Oryctolagus cuniculus: one gene and its partners. The protein of the gene in region 4 interacts with the protein of the main gene of each other region in a biochemical or structural test. Links are inferred from orthologs where the notes say so. Each region holds a gene or a part of one and is shown on either strand. Other genes may lie near its edges. The genes, in order: SMARCA4, PARP1, CDK2, CEBPA and TRIB1.

The links.
Region 1: the proteins of CEBPA (region 4) and SMARCA4 form a complex in vitro, tested with the Homo sapiens proteins (2 studies listed by BioGRID, with this or other methods). The link is inferred for Oryctolagus cuniculus from reciprocal best matches to the Homo sapiens genes CEBPA and SMARCA4.
Region 2: the proteins of CEBPA (region 4) and PARP1 form a complex in vitro, tested with the Homo sapiens proteins (2 studies listed by BioGRID, with this or other methods). The link is inferred for Oryctolagus cuniculus from reciprocal best matches to the Homo sapiens genes CEBPA and PARP1.
Region 3: the proteins of CEBPA (region 4) and CDK2 form a complex in vitro, tested with the Homo sapiens proteins (2 studies listed by BioGRID, with this or other methods). The link is inferred for Oryctolagus cuniculus from reciprocal best matches to the Homo sapiens genes CEBPA and CDK2.
Region 5: the proteins of CEBPA (region 4) and TRIB1 form a complex in vitro, tested with the Homo sapiens proteins (2 studies listed by BioGRID and IntAct, with this or other methods). The link is inferred for Oryctolagus cuniculus from reciprocal best matches to the Homo sapiens genes CEBPA and TRIB1.

What each region holds. Positions count from the first base shown.
Region 1 is NC_091447.1:66,602,818-66,608,040, reverse strand, and holds part of SMARCA4 (transcription activator BRG1), read left to right. Parts: intron 1-703; coding exon 704-867; intron 868-2,786; coding exon 2,787-3,014; intron 3,015-3,280; coding exon 3,281-3,379; intron 3,380-3,608; coding exon 3,609-3,686; intron 3,687-4,291; coding exon 4,292-4,510; intron 4,511-5,223. UniProt on the Homo sapiens protein: ATPase involved in transcriptional activation and repression of select genes by chromatin remodeling (alteration of DNA-nucleosome topology).
Region 2 is NC_091444.1:39,041,256-39,046,478, forward strand, and holds part of PARP1 (poly [ADP-ribose] polymerase 1), read left to right. Parts: intron 1-1,805; coding exon 1,806-1,922; intron 1,923-2,637; coding exon 2,638-2,814; intron 2,815-5,017; coding exon 5,018-5,165; intron 5,166-5,223. UniProt on the Homo sapiens protein: Poly-ADP-ribosyltransferase that mediates poly-ADP-ribosylation of proteins and plays a key role in DNA repair.
Region 3 is NC_091442.1:58,759,294-58,764,708, forward strand, and holds the end of CDK2 (cyclin-dependent kinase 2), read left to right. Parts: intron 1-631; coding exon 632-802; intron 803-1,522; coding exon 1,523-1,624; intron 1,625-2,179; coding exon 2,180-2,323; intron 2,324-2,621; coding exon 2,622-2,825; intron 2,826-3,047; coding exon 3,048-3,152; 3' UTR 3,153-4,246; downstream 4,247-5,415. Other genes in the region: RAB5B (ras-related protein Rab-5B), read left to right, coding at 5,384-5,415. UniProt on the Homo sapiens protein: Serine/threonine-protein kinase involved in the control of the cell cycle; essential for meiosis, but dispensable for mitosis. Phosphorylates CABLES1, CTNNB1, CDK2AP2, ERCC6, NBN, USP37, p53/TP53, NPM1, CDK7, RB1, BRCA2, MYC, NPAT, EZH2.
Region 4 is NC_091449.1:21,471,661-21,477,351, forward strand, and holds CEBPA (CCAAT/enhancer-binding protein alpha), read right to left. Parts: upstream 3,910-5,691; 5' UTR 3,769-3,909; coding exon 2,692-3,768; 3' UTR 1,353-2,691; downstream 1-1,352. UniProt on the Homo sapiens protein: Transcription factor that coordinates proliferation arrest and the differentiation of myeloid progenitors, adipocytes, hepatocytes, and cells of the lung and the placenta.
Region 5 is NC_091437.1:151,043,173-151,049,088, forward strand, and holds the start of TRIB1 (tribbles homolog 1), read left to right. Parts: upstream 1-1,976; 5' UTR 1,977-2,720; coding exon 2,721-3,089; intron 3,090-4,935; coding exon 4,936-5,228; intron 5,229-5,916. UniProt on the Homo sapiens protein: Adapter protein involved in protein degradation by interacting with COP1 ubiquitin ligase. The COP1-binding motif is masked by autoinhibitory interactions with the protein kinase domain.

The DNA of each region.
Region 1 (5,223 bases), on a different chromosome or scaffold from region 4:
CCTCTGTCACTGTCTGCCCGCCCCAGGGGCCCTCCTGTGTCTTGGGGGACAGTGGTGTTGGCACCTAAGCTGGTGCCACAGGAGGTATCAGGCCGATGGCGGCCGTGGCCTGTGCTGCAGCCCTTCCTTTAGTTCTCTGTGTTACATGGTGTCAGCCAGGGCCTGGGGGAAGGAGGTGGGCACCCGCTGGTGGCCACATGGAGAGGGCGTAGCTGGGGCTGTGTGTCTCTCCTGCCCTGGGGGAAGGAGGTGGGCACCCACTGGTGGCCCACAGAGAGGGCGTAGCCGGGGCTGTGTCTCTCTCCTGCCCTGGGGGAAGGAGGTGGGCACCCACTGGTGGCCCACAGGGCGTAGCCGGGGCTGTGTGTCTCTCCTGCCCTGGGGGAAGGAGGTGGGCACCTGCTGGTGGCCCACACAGAGAGGGCGTAGCCGGGGCTGTGTGTCTCTCCTGCCCTGGGGGAAGGAGGGGGGCACCCACTGGTGGCCCACAGAAAGGGCATAGCCGGGGCTGTGTGTCTCTCCCTGCCCTGGGGTAAGGAGGTGGGCACCCGCTGGTGGCCACACGGAGAGGGCGTCGCCAGGGCTGTGTGTCTCTCCTGCCCTGGGGGAAGGAGGTGGGCACTCGCTGGTGGCCCACACAGAGCGGGTGTAGCCGGGGCTGTGTGTCTCTCCTGCCTGCTGAGCTGTGGTCCTGTGCCGGCAGGAACCACCAAGGCGGAGGACCGGGGCATGCTGCTGAAGACCTTCAATGAGCCCGGCTCCGAGTACTTCATCTTCCTGCTCAGCACCCGCGCCGGGGGCCTGGGGCTCAACCTGCAGTCGGCGGACACTGTGATCATCTTCGACAGCGACTGGAACCCCCACCAGGTGCGGGCGCGGGGCCGGGGGCAGGGAACAGCGTCCACGTCCACGTCGCCACCTGTGGGCTGCCCTGGCGCCCAGGGTGTCCTCTGTGAGAGCCGCCGCACACTTCCTGAAGGCGGCCGCTATCCTCTAGAGCCCCCTTTTGCCTCGAAGAGGCAAGTGGTGTGTGCCCTTGTAATCCTAAAAATGTCTGGGGCTGCGTCACTGAGACAGAAGTGGGCTCGCTCTGAGAGTGCACCCGCGAGCTGTGCTCCCCGCCTGCTCGTCTCCTTCACCATGTCCCTGGCCTTGGGTCCGCAGAGCCAGCACCGCCTGTTTATAAGGAGGGGCCGTCTTGCCCCGGATTCCACTGTAACACGTTTTACTCAACATGGGAGCGCGAGGGGAAGGGCACTGCTGGCCTTGCTCAGCCGTCCTGCACTCTCTGAGCCTCTGCCCGTGCCTGACTGCACGCGCAGAGGTGCCGCCCGCCACCCCGGCGCCTCGCGTCCTGGCCCCTGGCAGCCCCTGATGGAGCACACAGGGCTCTCCCAGCCGGTCAGTGCCGGCTCCCCTCACGCCCATTGCCTGGCTGTCCCCAGCCGGTCAGTGCCGGCTCCGCTCACGCCCATTGATGGCTGTCCCCAGCCGGTCAGTGCCGGCTCCGCTCACGCCCGTTGATGGCTGTCCCCAGCTGGTCAGTGCCGGCTCCGCTCACGCCAATTGCCTGGCTCTGGTTCTCTTTCTCGGCGTGACCACCAGGCCTGGCTCCCTCGCTGGAGCCCAGCGCACTCAGTGCCCAGGCCCAGGGAGGGCGTTGCTGTGCCTGCGGCATCGTCTACACATCCTGGTTGTTTGTGCCACGCCCACTGACAGGCGAGAGTGTGCACTTCCCACCCGTCGCCTGGCAGCCCCGGCCTCATGGTCAGATGGATGCCTGCGAGCAGGGGACTGGGCTGTGCCTCCCTGCCGCAGGCGTGGACCCTGTGGAGCCTGCCACCACTGTCGGGCACAGAGGCCCCCGCAGGCCAGGGTCATGGCCGTCCCCACCAGCTGCTGCCCCGGTCCATAGCCTGGCCCAGAGGCGGGACTGTGAGAGAGCCTGCTCACTGAACTTCAGATAGTGATGGACGTGTCTCCGTCACGGCTGCCCCTCCACGGGGGCTGGCCCACCAACCACTGTGCTGGGCAGAAACCCCTTCACTCGGGTCACCGGCACAGTGTCTGCCTGAGGGGCCTCCATCTGCACTGTGTTCTGAGTCTCAGAAAGCTTGGGCGGGGCTGGCGCCACGGCTCACCTGGTTAATCCTCCACCTGTGGCGCCAGCATCCCAAATGGGCTCTGGTTCTAGTCCCAGTCCCCCTCTTCCAGTCCAGCTCTCTGCTGTGGCCACTGCTGTGTGCAGTGGAGAATGGCCCAAGTGCTTGGACCCTGCACCCGCATGGGAGACCAGGAGAAGCACCTGGCTCCCGGCTTGGTGCAGCGCTGGCCATGGTGGCCATTTAGGGGGTGAACCAGCAGAAGGAAGACCTTTCTCTGTCTCTCTCTCACTGTCTATAACTCTGCCTGTCCAAAAAAAGAAAGCCTGGGCTCGGAGCCGGCTTGCACAGTAAGGAGGCGGCAGGGCCCACACCAAGCCAGGCCCCACTAGGGTGCTGTGTGGCACTGCCCTGTCCTGGTGCGTGGCCACGCTGAGGACTTGTGTGCCTGAGGACACAACTCGGTGTGTCCCCTGGAATGGCACCAGCCGGGAAGGGTGAACGTGACAGTTGTGGAAGAACTCGGGCCTCTCGCCCCCCAGGACGGCGGGCAGGCTGCCTTCCATTGTGAGCCCCCAGCTCACGCAGCCGCTGCTCAGGGGTGGGGCTTGGGCCAGGCGGGGGCAGCCCCCGGAACGCGAAGGCCCCGCTGTGCATCCGACTGATGGGCGCCCGCTCCCGCAGGACCTGCAAGCGCAGGACCGGGCGCACCGCATCGGGCAGCAGAACGAGGTGCGCGTGCTGCGCCTCTGCACGGTGAACAGCGTGGAGGAGAAGATCCTGGCCGCGGCCAAGTACAAGCTCAACGTGGACCAGAAGGTGATCCAGGCCGGCATGTTTGACCAGAAGTCCTCGAGCCACGAGCGCCGCGCCTTCCTGCAGGCCATCCTGGAGCACGAGGAGCAGGACGAGGTGAGCCCCACGCCCCCCTCCCCGCGTGAGTGTGGACGCGTGAGCGGCTCGCAGTTTCGTTTTTCCACCTTTTTTGCATTTTTTATTTTTTTTTTATTTTTTTATTTTTTTATTTTTTTGCATCCCTTTGGAGTAAAGGGAGTGTGGGCTGAACGGAAAGAGGATGAGTACTTGCTTTTTCTTTGAAGTGGTTTTTTTTTCTGAACTGCTGGTGACAGACGCCGGACTGGCAGCCCTGGAGACTGAAGTCCTCTATTTATCCACAGAGCAGACACTGCAGCACGGGCAGCGGCAGTGCCAGCTTCGCCCACACTGCCCCTCCGCCAGCGGGCGTCAACCCCGACTTGGAGGAGCCACCTCTAAAGGTGAGAGGGGTAGTTCAGTCTCCACGCCCATTCAATCCTCGGCTCGCCGGCGGAGAGGCCAGCAAGGGCCCTGACCCCACGGAGCGTGCGTGTGCGTGTGCGTGTGTGCCTCTCGCTGCCGCGTGGGTCCCCATCCACCGCAGCCACTCTAGGACCTCCAGCTCGTCGCCCACGGATGCCGCCCAGCCCGGCCCCTCCACACCCAGACTAAAGGTTTGCCGTCTTGTAGGAAGAAGACGAGGTGCCCGACGACGAGACAGTCAACCAGATGATCGCCCGGCACGAGGAGGAGTTCGACCTGTTCATGGTGAGTGCCCCGCGGGGCTGGTGACAGGCGCAGCCTGCAGGCCTAGTGACGGGGCCTCTGGCGGGGTGGCCCACGCGTTGGTGCCTGGACTCGTAGGCCACAGGGACAGGGAGGCACATGCTCTCCTGTGTTCATGGAGCCCCTTGGCTCCACCAAGTGCCCATCCCCCAGAGCCCACCCGCTGGCAGCACCCAGGGCCTCTGCTCTAGGTTAGCACCGCCCGCGGTCCAGGGCTGCAGGACCTGGGCTCAGAACCACCCCGGCCCTGGCGACGGCTCGCAGCTGGAGCAGGCCTCTCGGCCCCCGCGGCTTGTGCCGTCCCCAACCCGTCCTGCCCCGCCCCTGCGGCCTTCCCACCTTCTCCAGCGTCTTTGTGCCCAAGGCAGAGCCCCAAGCCAGGGTCTGTCAGAGCCATCAGGCCGGGCCAGCCACCACCAGACCTGAGCTGCTGCTTAACTTAGCCCATGGCAGCCGTGGCCTTGAGGGCAGGGAAGTGGCCCCCGTGAGCCTCCAGTGCCCCCCACTGCCCAGTGAGCGCACCCTGGAATGTGGCCAGGGCTCCCGTGCTGACGCCACCCTGTCTGCCCCGCCGCCCGGCTCTGCAGCGCATGGACCTGGACCGCAGGCGGGAGGAAGCCCGCAACCCCAAGCGGAAGCCGCGGCTCATGGAGGAGGACGAGCTGCCGTCCTGGATCATCAAGGACGACGCCGAGGTGGAGCGGCTGACCTGCGAGGAGGAGGAGGAGAAGATGTTCGGCCGCGGCTCCCGCCACCGCAAGGAGGTGGACTACAGCGACTCTCTCACCGAGAAGCAGTGGCTCAAGGTACATGCTGGAGAGGGCTGCAGCCCGCGCCGCTCGGCCGGGCTGCACAGAGCTGGGCCCGGCTGCCCAGGTGCGTGCCTCAGCCCCAGACCTGAGAGGTTCCTTCCGCCGATCTTGGCCGTGCTGCGTGATGGCCTTTGAGGCCTCTGGTGTGGGCCAGGGATGCTCGGGTCCTCCACCTCCCTGCTGATGTGGGAAGACCCCTGCTATGGGGACGTGTGGTGCAGTCAGCGCCAGGGTCCACCTGTTCCCGGGCTCAGGAGTGTACTACCCACCTCAGCTAGGGGCTGGCCAGGCACCTGTCAGTCCACAAGAGGTGATGACAAGCGGCACAGCATCCGGGGCCCTCAGGGTCGGGGGAGGAGGGTGCTAACTCGGCAGGGGGCCTGTAGCCCCATATGGGCAGTCCACTCTGCGAGTGGGACTCCTCCCTGGCCGGGGAGCTGAAGAAGGGTGTAGGCTCCTGCAGGCCCGAGCCAGCGGCCCTGCGAGCTTGGGCCCAGCAGCTGCAGGTGGCTGGGCAGTGGGCAGCGCCTGTGGGCCCTCCTGACTCGGCCTTCCAGGCAGCAGCACTGAGCGACCACTCAGCCCCCTCCCCGCCTTGGGGGCTGTCCGCAGAGTCCTGCCTGGCAGTCGTTGTCTGGCCCTGAACAGCACTGCCGGAAAGGCTATAAAAAGGAGCCACACAGCCCTGCTCGGGGCTCCCAACCAGA
Region 2 (5,223 bases), on a different chromosome or scaffold from region 4:
GGCCAAATGTTGAATTCAAGGAAGCCAGAGATTCTTAGCATAGACAGATTGCCTGAAGAGGTAGATTTCCCACGTTTTTACAATGAAGATCTCTTGTTTAAAAGTAAAAGGGATAATGGTAACAGGGGAGAAGACTGTTCAGTCGATAACCATTGACCAAGGAGAGTCATCATGGTATTGATTATGCTACAGGTGGTGAAGCAGTGTGAAAATTATCAGTCAGAAAATGCTGGGTGTTGGAGAAAGTAGGGGCAAACAGTCAGAAGTCAGTCTCTGAGGACCATGATTTCCATGAGCCATGTGCTCTTGTCTCTGGTATGAGTACTCAGGTTTTGCTTGTGGTATGAAAATTAGCACGTGATTCTTACAAAAGAATCACAGATTTGTGTTATGGGGAATAAAAATGTCCGCTCTGCATCACATCTGGCTGCAGTAGAGCCACAGCCCATAGTGCATTTGCCCTTCAGTCCCTGTGCTCTCTCCCTGATGTTGTCAGAGATGGAAAGAAAGAAACTCAAAGTGCTTCCCCACGCTTGCACCTCTGTTTCTGCTGGCTCATCTGGTGTTGGAGGTTCAGGAGTTATTCCACTTGCATTTGACCTTGTACCCAGGACTTCCTTGAAGTGCAGGGTGTCCCACCATGTGCTGAGGGAGGAGGAGGAGGGCAGGGGAGATTGTTGAGTCCCTAACAGTGGAGCTGGGAAACAGGCGCAAATGTGAGTGACTGCAGCTTTGAGTCAGTGTTCATTTGGTGCTGATGGTGAGTCTGTGGGTATCATAGGGTTGGCATTTTCGTCTCCATTTTTTCACATGGAGGGAATCTGAGGCCAAGAGGGTGAGTCCTACAGAGAGAGGAGACCCCCTGGCCTCCACTCTAAGATGGGGAGGCCCATGCTCTTCCCAGCCAGGCACTTGTGAGAGTAAGTGAGGTGACCTGTCAAAGTACACAACAAAGAGCAGGCCCTTCATAGACATTAAAAACTTAAAAGTCCTTTTTCAGGAGAACTTAAATGTGTCCCTGCATGGTACTGAATTGATACACTATTAAGAAATTAGTGTTCGGAATCATTCCTACTGTCAAATTGGTAGAGGGGCAGACATTTGGTAAAGCAGTTAAGACACCACCTGGGCTACCCACATGCCATATTGGAGTGCCTGGGTTCTAGCCCTGGCTCTGCTCCCAGTTCCAGCTTCCTGCTAATGTGCACCCTGGGAGGCAGCAGGTTAGGCTCACATACTTGGGTTCCTTCCAGCCATGTGAGAGACCCAGATGGAGTCTTATTTTGGTGTGACCCAGTCCCAGCTGGTGGTAGCATTTGGGAAATAAACCAGCTAATGGAGGCTCTCTGTAGATATCCTTTGTGTGTGTCTGTCTATCTGTCTCTGCCTTTCAAATAAGAAAAGATTGACAGAGAACAGGCACACCCTACCTCCTTTGGCCTCTGGCTATTGGTGGTCGACACATGTGGGCCATTTAGCACTTACAGGCCCCTGTGTGTCTTGTGGGCTTGGTTTCTGAGGGATGCATTCCAGGGGCTTTGGTGACTTTGTTACGTCCTTCCCCACACTTGTTAATGGTTTCTTCCCCACCTTGCACAACTCTTTGAGAGCCCATGCTTCATATTCAATTTGAGACCTGCTGGAGCATGGCAAGGACTTAAAATCTACTGCTCAGACCGTCTTTTCGGGAGAGTCAGTTCAGCTAATCCTCTGGTGTGTGCTTGAGGCCAGGCATGTCCAGGGGTATACTCTTCCTTCAGTTGAAAAGAGAGGCCTCTCACTCAGCTGCTGGGTCTTGTCCCTAGGCCCAGAACGACCTGATCTGGAACATCAAGGATGAACTAAAGAAAGTATGTTCGACCAATGACCTGAAAGAGCTGCTCATCTTCAACAAGCAGCAAGTGCCTTCCGGGGAGTCGGCGGTGAGCGGCCTTAGTGTTAGAGCGGGACACGCCTGTGAGGCCGACTGTCCTAATGGAATATGCGAGGCCCTCCGTTTGAACACCTACTGGTATTAGCTGCGAGGAGTAAAACCTCGGTGGTCATGTTGTACAGTCATCACTGCCATTGTGGTCACCATTTCCCCAGGGGCAGTTGGGACAGGCCCTACCAGACATTTCTCATGTTGACACTTGCTGTGGAATTCTGCTGGGGGCTAGAGTGGGCCATGTTTGCCTTGAATGGTCATACCACATACTTTGGCCTGAGTAGCACTCTCAGCTGCCTTCTGCCCAAACTCCCTGGGGCTGCAAGGCTTGTGGAGGGAAAGAGACCCTTCTGCAAGGTGGTATGCCAGGGTCCCAGCATTTCCCCAGCTGCTTCTTCCCTGCCCTCCTCCTCTGGAGTTGAGGTTGCCTTGGTACCTTGTGCAGGACCAGGGCATGCTCTGGGCTCTCCCTGTATTTCCCAATCTGAGGGATGGGGAAGGTGAAGGAACACTTCACTTAGAGATGGGTCTCTGAAAACCCAAGAACCCAAGCCCCCTAGCAAACCAGCTGCCCAGGGGGCAAGTTCAAGAGCCCCAGGCAAGCCTCTGTTGCAGTGAAGGAGGTCTGTGCAAGTTCTCCATGCCACATTGCACAGCGTCTTCTCTGGAGTGCCTCCTTTCCCCTCTGACCATTTCATTGCTGGCTTCAGATCTTGGACCGGGTAGCTGATGGCATGGTGTTCGGTGCCCTCCTTCCCTGCGAGGAGTGCTCGGGCCAGCTGGTCTTCAAGAGCGATGCTTACTACTGTACCGGGGACGTCACTGCCTGGACCAAGTGTATGGTCAAGACACAGACACCCAACCGGAAGGAATGGGTGACCCCAAAGGTAAGGGGTCTGTTGCAGGGAGGGATGGTTCTGGGATCTGTTGGTGGGGCTTGTCACCAAGACTGCAGTGGCAGACTTTGTCACAACTGGGCCATTCTCATGATCAGAACATAAAATTTTATGGGTTCCATATGTTTGCAGACTGTACAAATATGGAAACAAAGCGTCTCTGAAGTGTGGAGTCAAGGTTTGTCCAATTGCTTGTGAGGACCATGAATTACTTGATTTATTGGGGCCCATTGTGCGCTGTTACTGTGAGGGACATATGGTGAACAGATAGTAGTAATTCCTGCTTTTATGACAAGCATTTCCTTGCCTTAGTGCCGGAGGGAGAGTTAGGTCCAGAGTTCATGTATCACTAGGTACTGAGTGCCCTCTATACGAGGGACCACAAGTGGAATTTAGTGGGCGCAGACCCCTCAGTTGGAGAGTTGGTGGCTGGATAAGCTCCTGCCCTGTGCCCTCAGGCCGGCAGGAGCTGGGGCAAGGTCCCGGTTCTCCCTTTGCTCGCTGCACCTGCTGTGTTCCCATGCGGGGAGGACATTTGAGCCAGTCCCCTCGGCACTTGGGTGTCCATGCTAGAGCAGGTCTGAGCTTGTCACCTCCCTTCCTTCAGCATCTTACAGACCCATTGTGTGGTGTTTACTATCTCTCAAGGAGCAAATCAGATGACAGTTAGCAGCGTGGACTGTTTATAGTCCATGTGCCCACAGTAGCGCATCTGAGAGTGTGTGCGGGTGCATGACACCTCTGCAGTCTGGTGGCACTTGCTGCCTGTGTGGATTCACGGGCCCAGACCCAGGCGGTGATTGTTGCCCCCAGCTTGTGTCCCTGTGGTGACAGAACCAGGATCTCTCCATGATCTGACTCTGGGCCTTCTGCAGCCTCTCCTGCCGCCGCCTTTTCCTCCCTTATCGCTCTCCCCGCCGTACTCCTTGGCTCTTTACACTCCCAGCCATGGACAGCTCCCTAGGGTTCCCCGTAGGCCATCTAGGTTCCTGTAGTAAGCAGACACTTGCCTGCTTTTCCAGCTCCTAATAGACTCAGCAGGTCACTGGCCTGTGAGTGCCCTCCCAGCATTCCCACTTTCCTGTCACCTTAGCTCACCTCCAGTTTAGAACTTGGCTCCAAGTTTAGAACTTGGCTTACCATCGTATATCTGACGTGGTCGAGACTGAGCCTCCTCAAGGGCAGAAACCGTCTTCTGAACCTGCCTGTGATGTGTGGCAGTATTAGGTGGTCAGTGTATGTTGGAGGCTCTTTGTTAGCCTTTAATCCAACTGGCATTCATTGACTGTGGCATCGTCGGAAAGGCCTGTGTATTGATTGGATGAAGTCTTAGCATAGGAACTGTGGTCTTTCCCAGAGCTTTGTGCATTTGACTTTTATTGAGTGACCATCTAGAATAAGTCCCTTTGTAAATCTCCTGGGACAGAGAGTGAACTGTGCCATTTGCTGTTGAGGGATTTTGTTGTAAGTTCAGTAAAAAAAGGAAAAGAGTTACTCTGACTTAGAGGTAATGATGTGTGTGGTCCTGGGGCCCTTCTGGTCGTAGATTGGGCACCTGAGGCCCCAGGAAGGCCTGTTCATTCTTGAGAATGATTCAAGGATGGGGTGGGGGCAGCAGTTAAGTCACTGCTTGAGACCCTTCATCCCATGTCAGTGCCTGGGTTTGAGTTTCCTGCCTGCCTGTGCACACTCTAGGAAACAGTAGGTAAGGCCTCAAGTGGCTGGGTCCATACATCTGGTGGAAGCCCAACACAGAGTTCCCAGTTCCTGCCTGTGGCCTGGCCTAGCTCCAGCTGTTGCGGACAGTTGGGGAACAAACCACCGAATAAGAGACTCGCCTCCCTCTCGTGGAAAAAATAAATGAGTGGGGCCGGGGAGGTGGTTATAGGCTCCAGCAGTGGTTCCCTGGCCAGATCATCAACTGTCATTTTGTTTTTCATTTTCTTAAAGGAAAAGACTCTTCTTTTAACATAGCTGCAGTGCCAATTTGATCATAAAATGGAAATACTGGCCATAAGTACCATGGTGGCAGAACTGCCATCCTTCATCCTAGAAGCCTCCCATTTTCCTATTCTACATTCTTTATTAGAAAAAGAGATCTTTGAATTTGCACCAGCCAGATCTCTTTTGGCCTGTTAGGTGGTCGTTTATAGAGGGAACTAGTTTCTTAAAAACTAAAACTTAAATTCTTCAGGAATTCCGGGAAATCTCTTACCTCAAGAAATTGAAGATCAAAAAGCAGGACCGCATATTCCCCCCAGAGAGCAGCGCCCCGGCAGCAGCGGCACCCCCTCCCTCCACAGCCTCGGCCCCCGCTTCTGTGACTCCCTCCGCTCCAGCAGGTACACCTCCAGGGGCTGGGCGCCCCGACCTCTGAGCCCTGATTCTACAGTGACCTGA
Region 3 (5,415 bases), on a different chromosome or scaffold from region 4:
GGTGCCCATATGGGATGCTGGTGCTTCAGGCCAGAGCGTTAACCCGCTGTGCCACCGTGCCAGCTCCGAGATTTATTTATTTATCTAAAAGAGTTACACAGAGAAGGAGAGGCAGAGACAGTAAGGTCTTCCATCCCCTGGTTTACTCCCCAGTTGACTGCAACGGCCAGAGCTGGGCCAATCTGAAGCCAGGAACCAGGAGCCGGGAGCTTCTTCCTGGTCTCCCATGTGGTTGCAGGGGCCCAAGGACTTGGGCCATCTTCTACTGCTTTCCCAGGCCATAGCAGAGTGCTGGATCGGAAGTGGTGCAGCTGGGACTCAAACTGGCATTCATACAGGATGCTGGCACTGCTGCAGCAGCTTTACCTGCTACGCCACAGCGCTGGCCCCCAACTAGTGTTTCTTGAATGCATGTGTATTAAACCTTCAACCTGTAGCTACAGGGCATGAAAGAGATACAAATCTGCTTAAGACCTGGTCCTGATCTTCCTGGGACTGGGAGTCCTACCAGCAAAAATAGCTTGTAACTACAAAATAACATAGTAAAGACTTTAGTGGAGCTCTGTGGGCAAAGAGCAAACTGATGTGCTTGTTGTGATTGAACAACAATCCCCTCTCTTCCCCCTGTCAGAGCTATCTGTTCCAGCTGCTCCAAGGCCTAGCGTTCTGCCATTCTCATCGGGTCCTGCACCGAGATCTAAAACCTCAGAATCTACTTATCAATGCAGAGGGCTCCATCAAGTTAGCCGACTTTGGACTAGCCAGAGCCTTTGGAGTGCCTGTTCGTACTTACACCCACGAGGTGAGTCCACAAACCCCTCCACCCCCCGCCTTGCTTTTCTTCTCTGAGCTCCCCAGGAGGGGTTAACAAGGGCATTCACAAAGTTACTAGAAATATTTGGCCAACAGTTTCTCTTACTATATGAAAAGAATCTCTGAGACCCTAAGGGGTCTTAGGGTATGCACACAGTTCCTTCTGTGGTGCTAACTGGGATTTTTCTTTTTAAAGGTTAATTCTACTTATTTGAAAGGTGGAGAGACAGAGAAAGAGAGATCTTGCACCTCTTGGTTCACTCCCCAAATGGACACAACAGCCAGAGCTGGGTCAGGCTCCTGCGTGGGTGGGCCATCATTCACTGCTTTTCTAGGCACATTAACAGACAGCTGGATCAGAAGTGGAGCAGCTAAGACTTGAACCAGCACTCCCATGTGAGATGCAGTTGTCGCTGGCAATGGGCTTTTCCTAAGCCAGGACAGCTGGATGGGACACCACTAAAATTAGGACCATTTGTCGCAAGTTTTCCAGGAAAGTCCCAGCTTGGAGGTTCAGAAGATATGGCCCCTATGTGGACTAGGCTAACTCTGAGCTAAGAAGTTGTGTGTAATCGCTTCTCACAGGGAGATCAGAGGAGGGGGAGGATGGAGGAGAGAAACATCTTGTTTTAAGGCTAAGAGTTAGCAGAGTGGAGCTGAGAGGTGAGGGCCCTGGAAGCCAGCTCTCATTCCTCTTCTTGTCTCCCAGGTGGTGACCCTGTGGTACCGAGCCCCTGAGATCCTCCTGGGCTGCAAATACTACTCCACAGCCGTGGACATCTGGAGCCTGGGCTGCATCTTTGCCGAGATGGTACGGAGGCTTGTCCCAAGTTCCACCCAGCCCGTTCCTCCCCACGTCTAAGAACAACAGGACTGTTTCTTGGCCTGGGCCCGTGGCCCTTCTTTCAAAGGGTTCTCTCCAGCAGCATCAAGGCGGGTGTGGGGAAAGGATAGGACGTGGCCCCCGAGCAGGCTTAGTGTCCCTCTTCACCCTGAAATGGGTAAATCATTTGTGCAGCTGTTTTACTGTTGGTCTGCGTATATTAGAGGGAATGCCTTCCAGGGAGCCGCTCCTTCATTTGGCCGGTAGACTTCATTTGCCAGGAATGGAGTAAGCCAACCGGGATCCCTTTACCCACACCCTTCACACAATCTGCAGGCTTCAATCACGTCCCCTCCCCCCTATCTCCCCATAACGGAACCGTGGAGTAGGCCGAATCTTCCAATCCAGCAGCAATAAGTTTTATGGTCCTTTACGTGGGTTGCCACTGGGGACTAGGAGACAATAGCCTATACATCGTCCCCAGTGCATTACCTTGCAGTTGCCCATATTCTGCTCTCAATTCATTAAAAAATATCTGTTAAGCACCTAGTGTGTGCCCAGCACCATGCTGGGTGCTGTGGGGAACACAGAAGAAATGGAAGACACAGTCTCTGCCCGCTGTGCTCCTATCTAGAAGTGGCCGCATCCCAAGGAGGGGGGATGACCGCAGTGTCTACCCCACATCCCGTGAGTGGCTTGGGATCCCTTTGCTACGTGTCAGCGGCACCCCAGACATTCAGCCCCTCCCAGCCCCACCCAGCCTTGGGGGTCTGTAAAGCCATGGATGGGGGAAGGAAGGAGGGGTGAGGAGCCAGATGAAGGGACTTCATTGTCTCAGGCTGTGTGTGACTGACCCCATGGCAGGCCCTGGGGAGGGAGTCATGGGGCCCTGCTGACCTTCCACTGCCTGTGGGAACCTCTTCTGTGCGGGGGACAGCTGTGACTGACGTCAGTGTGGGTCTTTGCCTCCCCTCCCCCTTTTCAGGTGACCCGCCGGGCCCTGTTCCCTGGTGATTCTGAGATTGACCAGCTCTTCCGGATCTTCCGGACTCTGGGGACCCCAGATGAGGTGGTTTGGCCAGGAGTTACTTCAATGCCCGATTACAAGCCGAGTTTCCCCAAGTGGGCCCGGCAGGATTTTAGCAAAGTCGTGCCTCCCCTGGATGAAGATGGACGGAGCTTGTTATCGGTGAGAGTGGGCATCTGTTTCCCCTTGCTCGTGCCCTGTCCGCGGGAAGGGCTTGCCTACGATGGAGGAAGATGAGCCCCTGACCCGGGGGTCTCCGCCTTTGCACTTCTCTCCCCGTCGGCTGGCTCAGAGAGGGGAGGGGGGCAGTGAGAACTCTGTCTTGGGAACCAGGAGTCCTGGTTTCCTGATTTCACTGAAGTCCGCATCCGTCTCTCCCTCCAGCAAATGTTGCACTATGACCCCAACAAGCGGATTTCGGCAAAGGCAGCTCTGGCTCACCCCTTCTTCCAGGATGTGACCAAGCCAGTACCCCATCTCCGACTCTGACATCGTGGCCCAAGTTCCTCGCCCCCCCCCCCCCGCCCCGGGTGTCACCCACTCCTCCCAGTATGGGCTTGATCCGGCGTGGCCCTCCCCGCTGTTTGGGCGCAGGTGGAGGCCCTCTGATCCTGTCCGGCAACTGTGACACTCCCCTGCCCCTGCTGGCCTGCCGACGCTGGGCACAGAAGGGTTGAGGGAGGAATGGGTGAGAATGAGAGGAAGTTGCAGTGTTCCGTGCACTTACGTCAGTGTCCACCACCCGCTCCCCTCCTCATAGTCCTTGCTGAGAAGGGCTCGTCTTGGAAAATACCAGAGCTGACTGTTCTCTCCCAGACTCTGAATGCCCCATAATTATTATCCCATGTGTTTGGGCCCCCAAGCCTCCTGTGGCCACTAGTTTTGTAAAGGTCAACTACTAACAGGGTTGGCTAAGCTGGAACTTTGGAGAAAGGAGCAGGAAGAACACCACAGGGAGGAAGTGTTCTTAAAGAATTCAGTTAAAACCACTCGTGGGTTGCTGTTTCACCTCACCTGACAAGTGGGCAGACCCAAGACTAGGCCCCGGGGGGGCCTGCAGGAGAAATGGCAGCCCCTAGCCCCTCTGTCTGCCCCGGCTGTGGGCCAGAGGACTTGAAGGCTCTTAACACAGGCACTGTGCCTCCCTCCCATCCATTCTCCACGGCCTTAGAGGCAGGTGAGAGAGTTTGGATTTTTCTCTGCCCTCGGGATTCTTAGTTGTTCAGCTACCATGGATCCCTGCTCCTGTCTTTTCTGAGGGCCACCCCTGCCCCCTAGGAGAGGAAGTTAGGGTTTAGACATCCTTTTGAGAATGCTGACACTTCCAGGGATGACATTGGGAAAATATATTTCTTTAAAAGAAGGATGAACAATTATATTTATATTTCAGGTTATGGTTTTTAAACAGGAGCGGGTGGATTTTTTGCCATGTGCACCTTGGGGTTTTGTAATGGAAATGTTAAAAATGTTTTCCTTTTTTTATCATTCTGGCTCTTTTTCTTCCACCTCTTGAACTTGAGTGCCCTTACTATTAACGTTATTTGTAATTTAGTTTGTAATTCATTAAAAAAAAAAAGTTCCTAGTTTTGTAGTTATTTTGTTCCTCCTATTATTCACGGGAAGAATGGTGTGAGAGAGACCAGGCAGGCGAAATTGTGGTGACTGGTTTTAGGCCTCTCTAGGCAGGGATACCCTCTCACTCTGTTTTGGTCTCTAAGATGCACTTGGAATTGGGATAGGACCCAGGGTGAGTAACGTGGGTATTAGACCCATTTTACAGCCAGGGAAGCTGAGGCCCTGTCATTTCCTCCTTCACTTTCCCCACACAGCAAGTCCTACCTCCCCCCACCCCACCACCCCCACACACACAGCGACCATTCCAGAATCTGCAGTAGGGTTGGAAGTAGGTTCCAGAAGAATCCATCCACCTGTACACCGCCTTTCCCAGTAAGCCGCGTTGATTTTCCTTTCTGTTGCTTATCACACACGGCAGAGTTTCTGAAGATTATCTTATTCACATTTACATACAATTCAAAAAATACCCACTGAGTATAGAAAATTACTACCACGGCGTCTCCAGCTACTGCTTTTTGTAGTTGCCATTGTCTCCATCAAAAAAACATCTCAGATCGCCCGCAGGCCACGCCGAAAACGCACGTCCTCTGAACCCTCGCTAAAAGGAAGAGCGCTGAGGCGCGTCTCTCAAATTCCCAGGCGCCGGGTCCCCTCAGAGGTATTTCCCTTTACGCCCGCGAATTTGTCATAGAGGGCGGGGCCCCGAGTCAGCCCCCGCCAAATCCAGGGGGAGGAGCGAAGGTCAGTAACGGCCTCCCTCAGGCTTCCTTCAACCCCGCCTTGCCTGCCAGTCAAGTCCCGAATTTCCGCAGCACTGGCTAAAGTCTCACTTGGACCCGCCTCCATCACTCACCTGATTAGATGTTTATGAGTCAAAAGGCGGGGGTCATGGGGTGTCGAGGTTTTATTGGCTGGTACGCACGTCTATCAACGACGTACCGCCCCCTGTCTCCGGGAGCTCGCTCTTTAACGGCCCATCACCTCGTCCGTCTTCCAGGTTTCTCTCCCTGTATTGGCTTATGACCCTGCCTGTCCAGTCCCTTGCTCGTACTCGTTGGCGACAACACCCCAAGAGTCCCGCCTTTCTCCAGAGGATTGGCGGATGAGTGCACATACAGCCCACCCTCGATGGTAGGCGGGTAATCATGCTATTGGCTGGGGCCCCCGCCCCAGGGCG
Region 4 (5,691 bases):
GCTCCCAATTGCAGCTTCCTGCTAATGCAAACCCTGGGAGGTAGCAGGTGGTGGCTCAAGTACTTGGGTCCCTGCCATCCATGTGGGAGACCCAGACTGAGTTCCAGGTTCCTGGCTTTGGCCAGCTCGCAACTTGGGCCCAGTCCCTGGTCCCTGGCTTTGGCTGGGTCCAGTCCCAGCTGTTGTGGGCATTTGGGCAGTGAAACAGTGGATGGAAGCTATCTGTCAGTGTCTCTCTCATTCTCTGTCTCCTGAATTAAAAAAAAAAAAGTCTGTGGAAGAGGCACATTATGAAAAAAAAGTATGCATGGATTTCAAAATATTTGTTGCACCAAAACAAATTTATCTTTTTAATCCCATTTTCCCACAGACTTTTTGAAGTGCCGTGCTACTGGTATTGTACAATCCAATCATGTGAACACTCTCACGGGAAGATGAGCTAAAAAGTGTTTTTCCTTCTCCCCTCCAAGAAAACAACACCTTAAAGCCCCTGCCAGCCTCCTGAGCCCTGTTAACTCAGGTACCAGGGGCTGCCCCTCTTCGTCTGCTGCCACTGCTACAAGGTGGTGCTGGTGGCTTGTGCTCGGAGTGAGATGCTCACCAGGACTCAGCCTCTTGCTTGTGGGGTGACAGGGAGACTGGATGCTGGACACCCCTGCAGGCATGCTGTGTCCCTGCCCCGCTATGCCTACCTAAGAGCCTGGGGCCCAGCAAAGGGGGCTGGGCTGGATGGCAGGAGCTCAGCTTTCCGGGTGCCCTTTTCGGCATCGTGGGGACAGGTTGCAGTCTCGTGGTCCGGAGACAGTTGGAGGGTCCAGGCACTTGGTCCAGGGGGAGCGGAGGAGGGTCCTACCAGACAAGGCTTCTTTCAGCCAGCCCCTCGCTCTGCGGGGAGCCTGGGGCAACGCTGAGTGAGAGCAGGGCTGCTCTGAGTACTGGGAGTGATTTGGAAATGAGCATCCCCAGAGGGCCCCTGGAGCCTGGAGCTGCTGGCTGGGCCTGCACCCAGGGAAGAGGGCTCCCAGAGTCCCTTTTCTTCTCCCAGGGGCAAATGAGGGGCCACGGTGAGGCCTCTGCCCTGTACCCCCCACCCCCACCCCCCCACAAGCCTCCCACTCCCACCCCAGGAGACTGTCTTTGGCTCTGGGCATTCTCAGCTTGGAGCCTGTTTATTTGTCTGGGTTGGGGGAAGTCAGTCACCCTCCTAAGGGAAATAGGGGTTCAGGATGGACGGGGTACTAATGGAAGCCAGGGCACCGGCCAGGGACAGCGCTGTGAGTATTTGCCAATGTGACCTGGCCCGAAGCAAAGCTTGCAGGCAGCTTCCTCCTGCTTTTAAAGAGACACCAAGATTGACTTTGATACGTTTATATTATAGACATAATACATAAAACTTCTAGCATGAAACTCATGTTCTCCCCAGAGGAAGAGAACCAAGTCTTCCTGCTGTGCTGCCGGCCCCAGCGACGTGCACGCCCTGGCCAGAGGCCACTGCCCTTCCAGACCAGGAGCCCCGGGCCTCAGGGCTGGGGCTCACAGCTGCAGCCAGGGAGAACCCGGGGAAGGGGGGAGGGGACGCCCACCTCACCTCATTGGTCCCCGGGAGCAAAAGCAACCCCCAAACCAGAAGGAAAGAGGACCTCAGAGCCTTCCCCCAGCGGCCAACCAAGAGTCTCATTTTGGCAAGTATCTGAGCAAAACCAAACCAAAACAAAAACCAAATACAATGGTGGTGGAGCGTAGACGTGCACACGGACACTGCACAAGGCAGCGCCGGGACGGAGAGAGGCTAGATACAAGATATCGGCTGATAAAGCAGAATATTTGGAAAGTTTGTCATGGCCCGGGTCCCTCTGGGATGGGCTGACTGCACTTCATGTCCGCACGGTACAGACAAGGCTGGGCCCCCGGTCCCTGCACCCCGCACCGCACCCCACTACCAGATCTCCAGGTTCTTCCGCCAAGCCACCACTCCCTCCAACACCCGTCCTGGCTGGGTGGTCTGAATGGGGTTGGAGGGGCTCCTTGAAACCTGATGACCCCCGTCTCAGTAAGCGCTGCTCCGGGAAGCCAAGCCTGCTGCAGGCTATGGGAGGGGTAGGTGAGGAACTAGGGACCCTTCAACTTCATTATAACTAGGGGAACCACCTTAGGCTCAGAGCCCCAAGTCCCCATGTTTGCTCCCCTCTGAGGGCCGACGCTGAGGTCTGGCTAGGACTGGTTGCTCCCTGTACACTCCTCCCGTCCCGGGCCTGCCCCCTCTCACGGGGGCCGCTGCTGTCCCAGGGGCGGCAGAAACCCTCCAAGTAAAATGACAAGGCACGTATTTGCTCCCCCTACTCGGTAGGAACTGGAGCAGCGAGTTTGCATTTCCAAGGCACACGGTTACTCCTGAATACCGGAGTTTGCCGGGCTCCAGCTCAGCCCCCGGAGAACTCTTCCTCTCCCGCGGGAAGAAACCACTGCCGGGTCCCCTCGTCTCAACACGCACCAAGTCCGGCGCGGAGGGAGGGGGAGGCGTCCAGCGGGCCGGGCTTTTGGTCGGCACCGGAATCTCCTAGTCCTGGCTTGCACGGCCCGGTGAGGGGAGGGCGGCGGCCTGGAGACCTGGGGACCCGAAATCACTCCCCAGGTGCACCCCAAGCCCCCAGCCAAGAGCCGGCCCAGGGCAGTCCCGCCTCCGCGCGCGCCTCACGCGCAGTTGCCCATGGCCTTGACCAAGGAGCTCTCCGGAAGCTGGCGGAAGATGCCCCGCAGGGTGTCCAGTTCGCGGCTCAGCTGTTCCACCCGCTTGCGCAGGCGGTCATTGTCACTGGTCAGCTCCAGCACCTTCTGCTGCGTCTCCACGTTGCGCTGCTTGGCCTTGTCGCGGCTCTTGCGCACCGCGATGTTGTTGCGTTCCCGCCGCACCCGGTACTCGTTGCTGTTCTTGTCCACCGACTTCTTGGCCTTACCCGAGCCGCTGCCGCCGCCCGCGCGGGGATCGGGGTGCCCAGCCGCCAGCCCCTTGAGCGCGCCGCCTGGACCCGGCAGGCCCGCAGCGCCGAGCGCGGGGGCCGGGTGTGGGCTGGGCACGGGCGTAGGCGGTGGCGTGGGGTGGCCGGGCTGCAGGTGCATGGTGGTCTGGCCGCAGTGCGCGATCTGGAACTGCAGGTGCGGGGCGGCCAGGTGCGCGGGGGGCGGGTGCGGGTGCGCCGGCGGCGGCGGCGGCGGCGGTTGGTAGGGGAAGAGGCCGGCCAGCGCCAGCTGCTTCGCTTCGTCCTCCTCCCGGGGCTCCTGCTTGATCACCAGCGGCCGCAGCGTCGGCGCCCCGACGCGCTCGTACAGAGGCTCCAGTCTGCCGTCCAGGTAGCCGGCCGCCGCGCAGCCGTAGCCGGCGGGCGGGCCGTGCGCGCCCCCGGGCATGACGGCGCCGCCGGGGCCCACGGGGGCGCCCGGGTAGTCAAAGTCGCCGCCGCCGCCCGCCGGGGCCGCGGCCGCGGCCGCGGCCGCCTTGGCCTTCTCCTGCTGCCGGCTGTGCTGGAACAGGTCGGCCAGGAACTCGTCGTTGAAGGCGGCCGGGTCGATGTAGGCGCTGATGTCGATGGACGTCTCGTGTTCGCAGATGCCGCCCAGGGGCTCCGGGGCGGCAGGTGGGGCTGGGGGCTGCGTGGGGCCCGCGCCCCGGGGAAAGCCGAAGGCGGCGCTGCTGGGCGCGTGCGGGGGGCTCTGGAGGTGACTGCTCATCAGGGGCCGCGGCTCCGCCTCGTAGAAGTCGGCCGACTCCATGGGGGAGCTAGAGTTCTCCCGGCATGGCGAGCCTCGGCGGCCTCCAGCCTGCGCGGGGCGCCGCTGCCGCCGCCCGCCCGCCCGGAGTCCCTGCTCGCCCGCGCCCGCGCTGCTCCGGGTCGCGAATGGCCAGGCCTGCGCCGGCCGCGCATTTATACCGGGGCGGCCGTCGCCCCCTACTGTCCAAGCCGGCCTCGGACGGCCGTCGCGACGGGCGGCGCCTCCGGGTCTTAGCGCCGGCCTTGCGGAAGGGGGCGGTGAGCCGAGCCCGAGCGCGACGCCCAAAGACAGAGGCGGTGGCGCGGCGCCCGCTGCTTTCTGCGCCGCGAGCCAGCGGCTGGCGTCCCCGTGCACACGTGGTCGGTAGCGGAACCTCCTCCTCTGGTCTCCCCAAGGCACCGGCGGCTTCCAGCCCAGGGCCGATCGGGGGCCCGGGAGCATCCACCAGAGGCCGCGCGGGGGGCTCGGTGGAAAGGGGGAGTTTTGGACTTGCGCGGTCGCAGCTCACGCTTGCATTGGAAACTAGAGCCTCGCCTGTGGTGCCGGACCCGGGTCCCTGGGAATCCGTGGCGCTGAGGGGCAGGGCAGGGGGCCGGCCGCGGACTGATTCGGACGCTGCGGACTGATTCGGACGCTCCGCACTGCTCACATCTCTGTGCGCCAAGGCCCGGGGCGCGGGGTCCCGAGGTCATTCGTGTCCCATCTCCAGGTGACCCCCACTGATTCCGTGTAGCAGCACCTCTATCCCCAACCCTGACGCCCCTACTACTGCAGGCTCCCACGGGCGTGGCGAGCAGGGCGCTAGGACCCCGCGGGGGAGCAGAGGCGCCGCGGCGCCGCGGCCCGGGAGCCTGGTGGACCCAACCGGTCGATTCGCCCAGGCTAGAAAACTTTCTTTTTAATAACTTCTCCAGGCCGGAGCGCAGGGTTGCTAGGCGCGCGGGCTGGCGCAGCTACCTGGCGCGGAGCTGCCAAGTGTTGGCCTGCGGGCGGAGCGCGAGTGCTCCCTGGACGAGCCGAGCTGGCCACTGCGCGAGCGCGGGGCCGGGGGTAGCCGCGGAGGGAGAAGGTGAACTTGACTCCAGGTCCAGGACCAAGACCGCGAAGGGGACTCGCAGCCCACGAGCCCCACAGCCACTTCTTTCCCTCCTTCCCCTCCCCATCCCGCACTCCCCGTTCAGGTGAGCGTCCAGGCGGGGGCGGGGATGTCGTAGGAGCGGAGGCCTCCGGGTGCGAGCACGCACTGCCCCGGAGAGCTCCGCCAGCTGGGATCGTAGGCGCCGAGGCGGTCAGGCCCGGGGCCTCTGGGGCGCAGCGCCGCCTCCGCGCTCACTGCCGCGGGTGGGGAGGAGGTTTCGGCAGAGGCTCCCCCGCCACGTGGCGTCCGGCGCCTTCCGTAACGCGGATCGCAGCTGCGGAGCGCAGCAGCCAGGGGCCTCGTGGGCCCGCCAGTGAGTGCCTCCCGCCTCCACCCACGCCTTCTCTCGTGACTTCTTGCGTGGAGGCCGGACGCCCTGTGGGTGCCTCGCCGGGCTGCGCAGGGCAAGACCCCAGCGCCCCGGCCGCGCTCAGCCTGGCCAGGCGCCCGCCACGGTCCGCCTGGGAGCGTCCAAGGAGGCACCGCGGGAAACGCGGCCGGGGAGGCCCAGGCTTCCACTGTGGTCCGCAGCCAAGAAGCGATCCCGTCTGGGGAGCGCATTCCGCGCTTTAATCAAGGTCTTATTCAACAGATCCCCAATGATGAACGGCCCGCCTGCTCCGTGTTCGGACCGGAGCTCATAAACAAGATATTTTTAGCTTTGCGTTCTTGGACTGGGAGGGTAAAAGCAGATACCGTAAGCCAGTCACCTGATGCGGGCTGCAGAGCCCTTTCCCGGCCTGTGCGAGACCCGTGAATGCACGGTGCACCTGTGCTGGGAGACC
Region 5 (5,916 bases), on a different chromosome or scaffold from region 4:
ACCCCTGGGGGCTGTGCAGGGGAGGCAGGGAGGGGATGGCCCTGGGGGCAAACAGGTCTGGTGGACCCAGTGACCACTGTCGGAGAGGGGGAAAAGCAGACCCCAGGGAGAAGTCTGGCCCTGGGGGGTGGGCGGGGGCTTGGTGAATGGTAGGGGTGCCATTCCCAGAGAAGAGGAAGACAAGGTACACACCTTGGAGGAAGATGCCCCTGGACCACACCAACTACGCCATGCAGCTGGCAGCTCAGTGCCTCTTAAGTTCCTGCACAAAATAACCCTGAAAGACCAAGAGCATAGGTGGGCTCCCTCCTGGCCACAGAACGAAGCGTGCTGCTGGAGCCCTCCCTTCGACCTCTCAGACGGCCTGGGCTGGCTCAGCTCCCCACCACCCTTGCAGCCAACCCGGCTCTTCCCTACACCCCTGCCTGGGCTGGCCACCAGCACTGTTCACAGCCACCCGGACCTGAGCAACGCTCACACAGTCCCACTGGACCCCAGCTCAAGGGTCTTCTGAGTCCTCCCTAATGCCTCTTTTCCCCTACAAATTGCCATCTCTCTGTTGGGTCCCCAATGATGTTAAGTGCTCAATTGCTCCACCACTGGTGAGCTATTTCCCCATCTTTCTGGGTCTCAGTGTTTTCCTCCGTGACGTGGACTAGAGGAGGTGGTGGTGGTCCCACAGGTTCCACGCTAGGCACAGGGACTCCCACCCTGGAGGCCGCATCTAATTCGAGCTGTTATTGCTGCTTTAATTTTCATCTATTAATCCCCAGCGCCTAGCCCTTAGTAGACGCTTAGTGTTTGTTGAATGCACGGAGAATTAATAAGGAAATGGATGTATTCCTAGGGCTCTACCTGGTTTTAGAAAGTTAACGATTTAGCAGAAGTTCAAGGTCGCCTGCCTTGGGCGTTCAGGGGCTCCAAACTGACCAGGTTCCGATTCCGAGCTGTTTTCACGGAGCTCGGCGCAGGGTCTGGCGCACACTTTGCGCTCACCCTAAGCACTCTGCAGCGTCCGCGGGGCCGTGGCCGCAATGACTGCCCCGCCTCCTCCACACCACCTACCCCGATGCCCAGGCTGGCACCCGCGCCCCAGACTCCGCGGCGCGTGCGGAGGCCCGGGGAGGGGCAGGGATCCGGCGGCCGCGGCCACGTGGGCCCCTTCCGCCCGCTCCCACATCCTTTGTTTCCCACCCGCCCGGCTCAGGAAGCTCTTTCTGCGAGTCACCGCGAAGGGGCGGCCCGGGAGCCTGGAGAAGCTATTTCCGTGCAACCCGGGCGGCGAGGAGGTGGAGGCGGCGCAGAAGGCCCCGTGTTTGCTTTCGTTTCGTCCAACAGAAGGTTCTATTTGTGGAAGCGAACAGACGCTGGGGATTAGAGCTGGGAGGAGGCAGGAAAAGGGAGGGGGGAGCCACATCCACTACCACGCACAGGTCTTCCCCGGAACTACCGCGTGGGGGTGAATGACTGTCTCTGGAACTCATCACCCTCCCCAGGCTCCCTCCGCACCCCCACCCCTCTCCTCTGGCTGCAGCCTGGCCGCCCACGGCTCCAACCGGAGCTCCCCAGGTGCTGGGCTGCGGGGGGATCCCCGGGGCCAAAGGCGTAACCGCGGGACCGCAGCGAGCGGCGGGTGCAGAGAACCGCGCCGCGCGTGCCCGCGGCCCATTGTGCTCGCTGTGAATGAGGCGCGCGCACCAATCAGCGGCCGCTTCGCCCCCCGAGGCCCCGCCCTCCCGCCCACTTCCCCGAGACCCTGACGTCACGGGAACTTTTCCTCCGCCCCCTCCTTCGGCCGCTCGCGCGGAGCCGGGGGCCTGCAAGGAGGGCGCGCGCCGCCTCCTGCCCTGCCCAGCCCGGGGGCCGAGTGCGCGCGCTCCGGGCGGCCCGGGACGCACCACCTGCGCCCGAGCGCGCGCCGCTCCGAGCATCCCAGGCCCGCGGGCCACCCCCCGCCCCCCAGCCTCCTGCCCCTCCCCCCCAGTCTCCTCCCTCCGCTCCGGGGACTGCTCGCCGGGTGGCGGAGCCGGAGTCGTCGCGGCCACCTCATTGCACAACCCGGCTCCCCAACTGTTTACACAGGCCGGCCTGTGAGTGTGTGTGTGTATACAGCGTGAGTCACCGGGAGGCGGAGGAGGTGGAGGAAAAGGAGAAGGAGGAGTGCGCTGGCCGGGATCGGCGCGGCGCACACACTCACTCACACTCAGTCACTCTCTCCGAGCGCGTCGCGCCCGCTCGCACACGCCCGCAGTCCAGGAGCGCGCGCAGGACCCCCGGGCGCCGCGGAAAAGTTGCTCCGGCTTTGATTGCTCCGGGACGTGCATTGGCTCCGCGGCTCTGCGCAGCCCGCGGAATCCTGTGCTCGTGGCCCGGGACCCCGGGAACGCAGGCCGCCGCCGCCTCTGGGACGGTCGGCAGCCTCGGCAACAATAGCGGCGGCCGCCCCCTGCGAGGGGGCCCCAAGTCGGCGGCCGCGGGGGTCCGAGGACCTGAGCCGGCCTCCGCCCCCCGGCCGCTGAGCCAGCGTGGTCTCCGCGTGTGCACCCGACAGCGCCGAGCAGCCACTCCCGCTGTGGCCCCTGTGGGGGCCGAGCCAAGCCCGCTCTGCAAACTCCATCCCGCGGGCTGGAAGAAGTCGCGGCGCCCTCGCCGAGCCCGCAGCGCCTTCCTGCGCGGATCCGGGGACTTACAAAGCCGGGACCGCCCCGGCCGGGGACGGGATGCGGGCCGGTCCCGTGCGCTCTTCCATGAGCGGCGCCTCGCAACCCCGGGGCCCGGCCCTGCTGCTCCCGGCCGCTCGGGGCACCCCGACCAAACGGCTGCTGGATGCGGACGACGCGGCGGCGGCGGTGGCGGCGGCGGCCAAGTGCCCGCGACTCTCCGAGTGCCCAAGCCCCCCGGACTACCTCAGCCCCCCCGGCTCGCCGTGCAGCCCGCAGCCCCTGCCCGCCGCGCCGGGAGCCGGCGGCAGCTCCGGGAGCGCGCCGGGGCCCAGCCGCATCGCGGACTACCTGCTACTGCCCCTAGCCGAGCGCGAGCATGTGTCCCGGGCGCTGTGCATCCACACCGGCCGCGAGCTGCGCTGCAAGGTAGGCGCCCCGGGGAGCACCCGGCGGGGGGATCGGGGGCGCGGGACGCGGTGCCCGACGTCCCTCCGACGCGGGGGGCTTGGGGGCAGGGCGGGTTGGTGCGGGGAGCCCGACCAGGCGGCCATTGACCGAGTTCACCCTTTTGGAGAGAGGTGTAAAGGGGGGATTCGCAGGCAAGCGGAAGTGCAGGGTTCAATTGCTTTATAGTCCTTGCTTGGCGCTGAGTTTAGCGCGTGGCGTTCCCATATAAGTTGTGGAATTGCAATGGATTCCAGGGCCATGCCATTCCCCTTCTCTCATTCTCCTCGCCGCCCCGCCCGCCCGCCCTTGCCCTGGAAGGACGCCCCGCAGTGGGTGCCTGCTCGGAGCCGGGAGCAGCCGGCCGCCCCCTCGCCGGGGCTCCGCTGCGGCTGGGAAGACCTGGGCCGGCCCGTGCCCTGGGGATTCCGACGGGAGCCCGCGCTGGCACGCGAACACCGCCCTGCCCAGGGCCGGTCCGGGGCGGGGGGTCTTCCAGCCGCGGCGGGGGGAATTTGCCCGGAGTCGGAAAGTGGGGAACCCCCCCCCCCCGCCCGCTAGGCGTCCTCGCTTCCATTCACTTTATTTTCCGGTCAGCGGTTTGCATTTGCACCGCAGGGAGGAGGAGGTGGCACTGGGACAGGCAGAACCCGCCGGGTCCGCGGCCGTCCCCGCCCCTGGAGGCTGGCACTGCGGTCGCAGGCTCCCCTTGAGGAGCCGCCTTCCGCCCACCCGGGCTGGGCGCCCCCAAGTTAAACTTGCTCTTGGATTTTCTGTAACTCACCTGACGCCCCTCTGCCCCCGCCCCCCAACCTTCCTCCAGGGCTTGCTGCTGCCACCTACCGTCCTACCCTTATGAAATTGCAAATGTACAACCAAGCCCAGGTTTTTAAGCGGGGAGAAACCTTTTTCGGTGACTGGGGCTGAGAGCTGTTCTGGGGAAAGCGGGTGTGTGTGTGTGTGCTGTGGGGTGGGATAGGAGGCGGAGAGGCAGCAGCAGGAGGCAGCCAGGCCTCAGAGGTGGGGTGGGTCTGGTCGTTGTGCAACCCCTTCCAGTTCCTCCAAGCAGATAATAGCTGAATCCAGATGGTGACAGCCCGTGTGTCACCGTTTCCAGTTGAGTCTAGGATATGAGTAACCGGACTAAACAGAGGGCCCTTAAAGAGACCTGCCAGCTTCTTAGGGGAGATGCTGCCGGTTCCTGGAGCGGGGTGGGTGGGAGGGGGCCTAAACAAACAATGGAACAAAGAAAAACCATTGGGACGGTCCAGTACCCCACCTGTGGGAACTGGCTGCACCTGAGTCACACGGCAGGCGGGTCGCTTAGTGCTGCCCGGTCACAGGCTGTCCAGCCAAGTCATTTGTTCCTTCTGACAGCTCTGTGGCCCCCGCTTCCCCTGGGAGGCTGCGGAGTCACGGGCCGGTGCCTTCTCTGGGCTGAACCCTTTGCCTTTGCAGGAGACACATGCACTTCCTGCAGGCCCTTGCCCGCGTGCTCTGCAAACCGGGAAGGGCCCCAGTGGGTGGGAGCTCTGGGGGCTTAGCTCTCAGGGTCCCTGGAGAAGACTGACAGGCGGGCACAGAAGACTGTTCTTTGAAACCGCTCATGGGGGGGGGGGTAGCTCTCTGGATGCTTGCTAGCCTTAGATGTCACTGGCTGTGAGGGTACTAGGGGTCCCTGGGGCAGCATCAGAGATAAGGAAGCCACATGCATAGAGCTTCCCCAAAGCCCAGAGATGGAGCACTTCAGTCCGGCTCCCTGGGGGATCTGGGAGCTAGCCTCCGCCTTTCTCAGCCCCCTAAGCACCCCGCCCCATTCTCTCCGCAGGTGTTTCCCATTAAACACTACCAGGACAAAATCAGGCCTTACATCCAGCTGCCGTCACACAGGAACATCACCGGCATCGTGGAAGTGATCCTTGGGGAGACCAAGGCCTACGTCTTCTTTGAGAAGGACTTCGGGGACATGCACTCCTACGTGCGAAGCCGGAAGAGGCTGCGGGAAGAGGAGGCCGCCAGGCTCTTCAAGCAGATCGTCTCTGCTGTCGCCCACTGCCACCAGTCGGCCATCGTGCTAGGGGACCTGAAGCTTAGGAAGTTCGTCTTCTCCACGGAGGAGAGGTGAGCAGCCGCCACAGCGCCTCCTCCTGTGGCCTATTGGAACCCAAGTAAAGGCACGGGTCGTGCAATTGGGTGCAGTGTGTTGGTGCACAGCAAAACCAAGGGCTCAGTTGTCCCAGAGGTAGTTGTAGAAGTCCTGAGGAGTCACGGCCAAGGTTGGTTTATTCTGCATTCTCGGGGGTGGGGTCTGGAGACACCTTGGTGCCTCTGCGGATGTCACTTAGCGGCAGGGTGCTCTACCCCCAGGACCAGGCCTAGTCCCCATCGCTGTCCACCAGCTCAGTCTTCTGGGGTAGGAGCATCAACTTTGCCCTTCACGATGACCGAGTTCTACAGGAAGTTTGCAAGTCTTGTTTTTGTACCTTGAAGGTGTGACGGAGCTAGGCTGTCCTGTTTGCAGAATCTCACTCTGCCTTTTTTTTTTTTCCCATCTTGGGCTGGGCTCCCCATACTTTCTTCACATTTCCCTGTGACTTTTTAAGATAATCCGGTTTGGATTCACCTTCAGAAAATAGCCGCATTGAATAATAAATGGAAGTTGGCTAGAATTGATTGCTAAATATAGCTCCTGGCTTACCTCACAAAGGACGAGATGAGGCTGATAAGAGCATAATGAGGCATTTAGATTCAGAGTGGAGGTTCCAGAACCAGAGTGCAGGAAGATGCATGGTGGGGGGGCACCTGATTT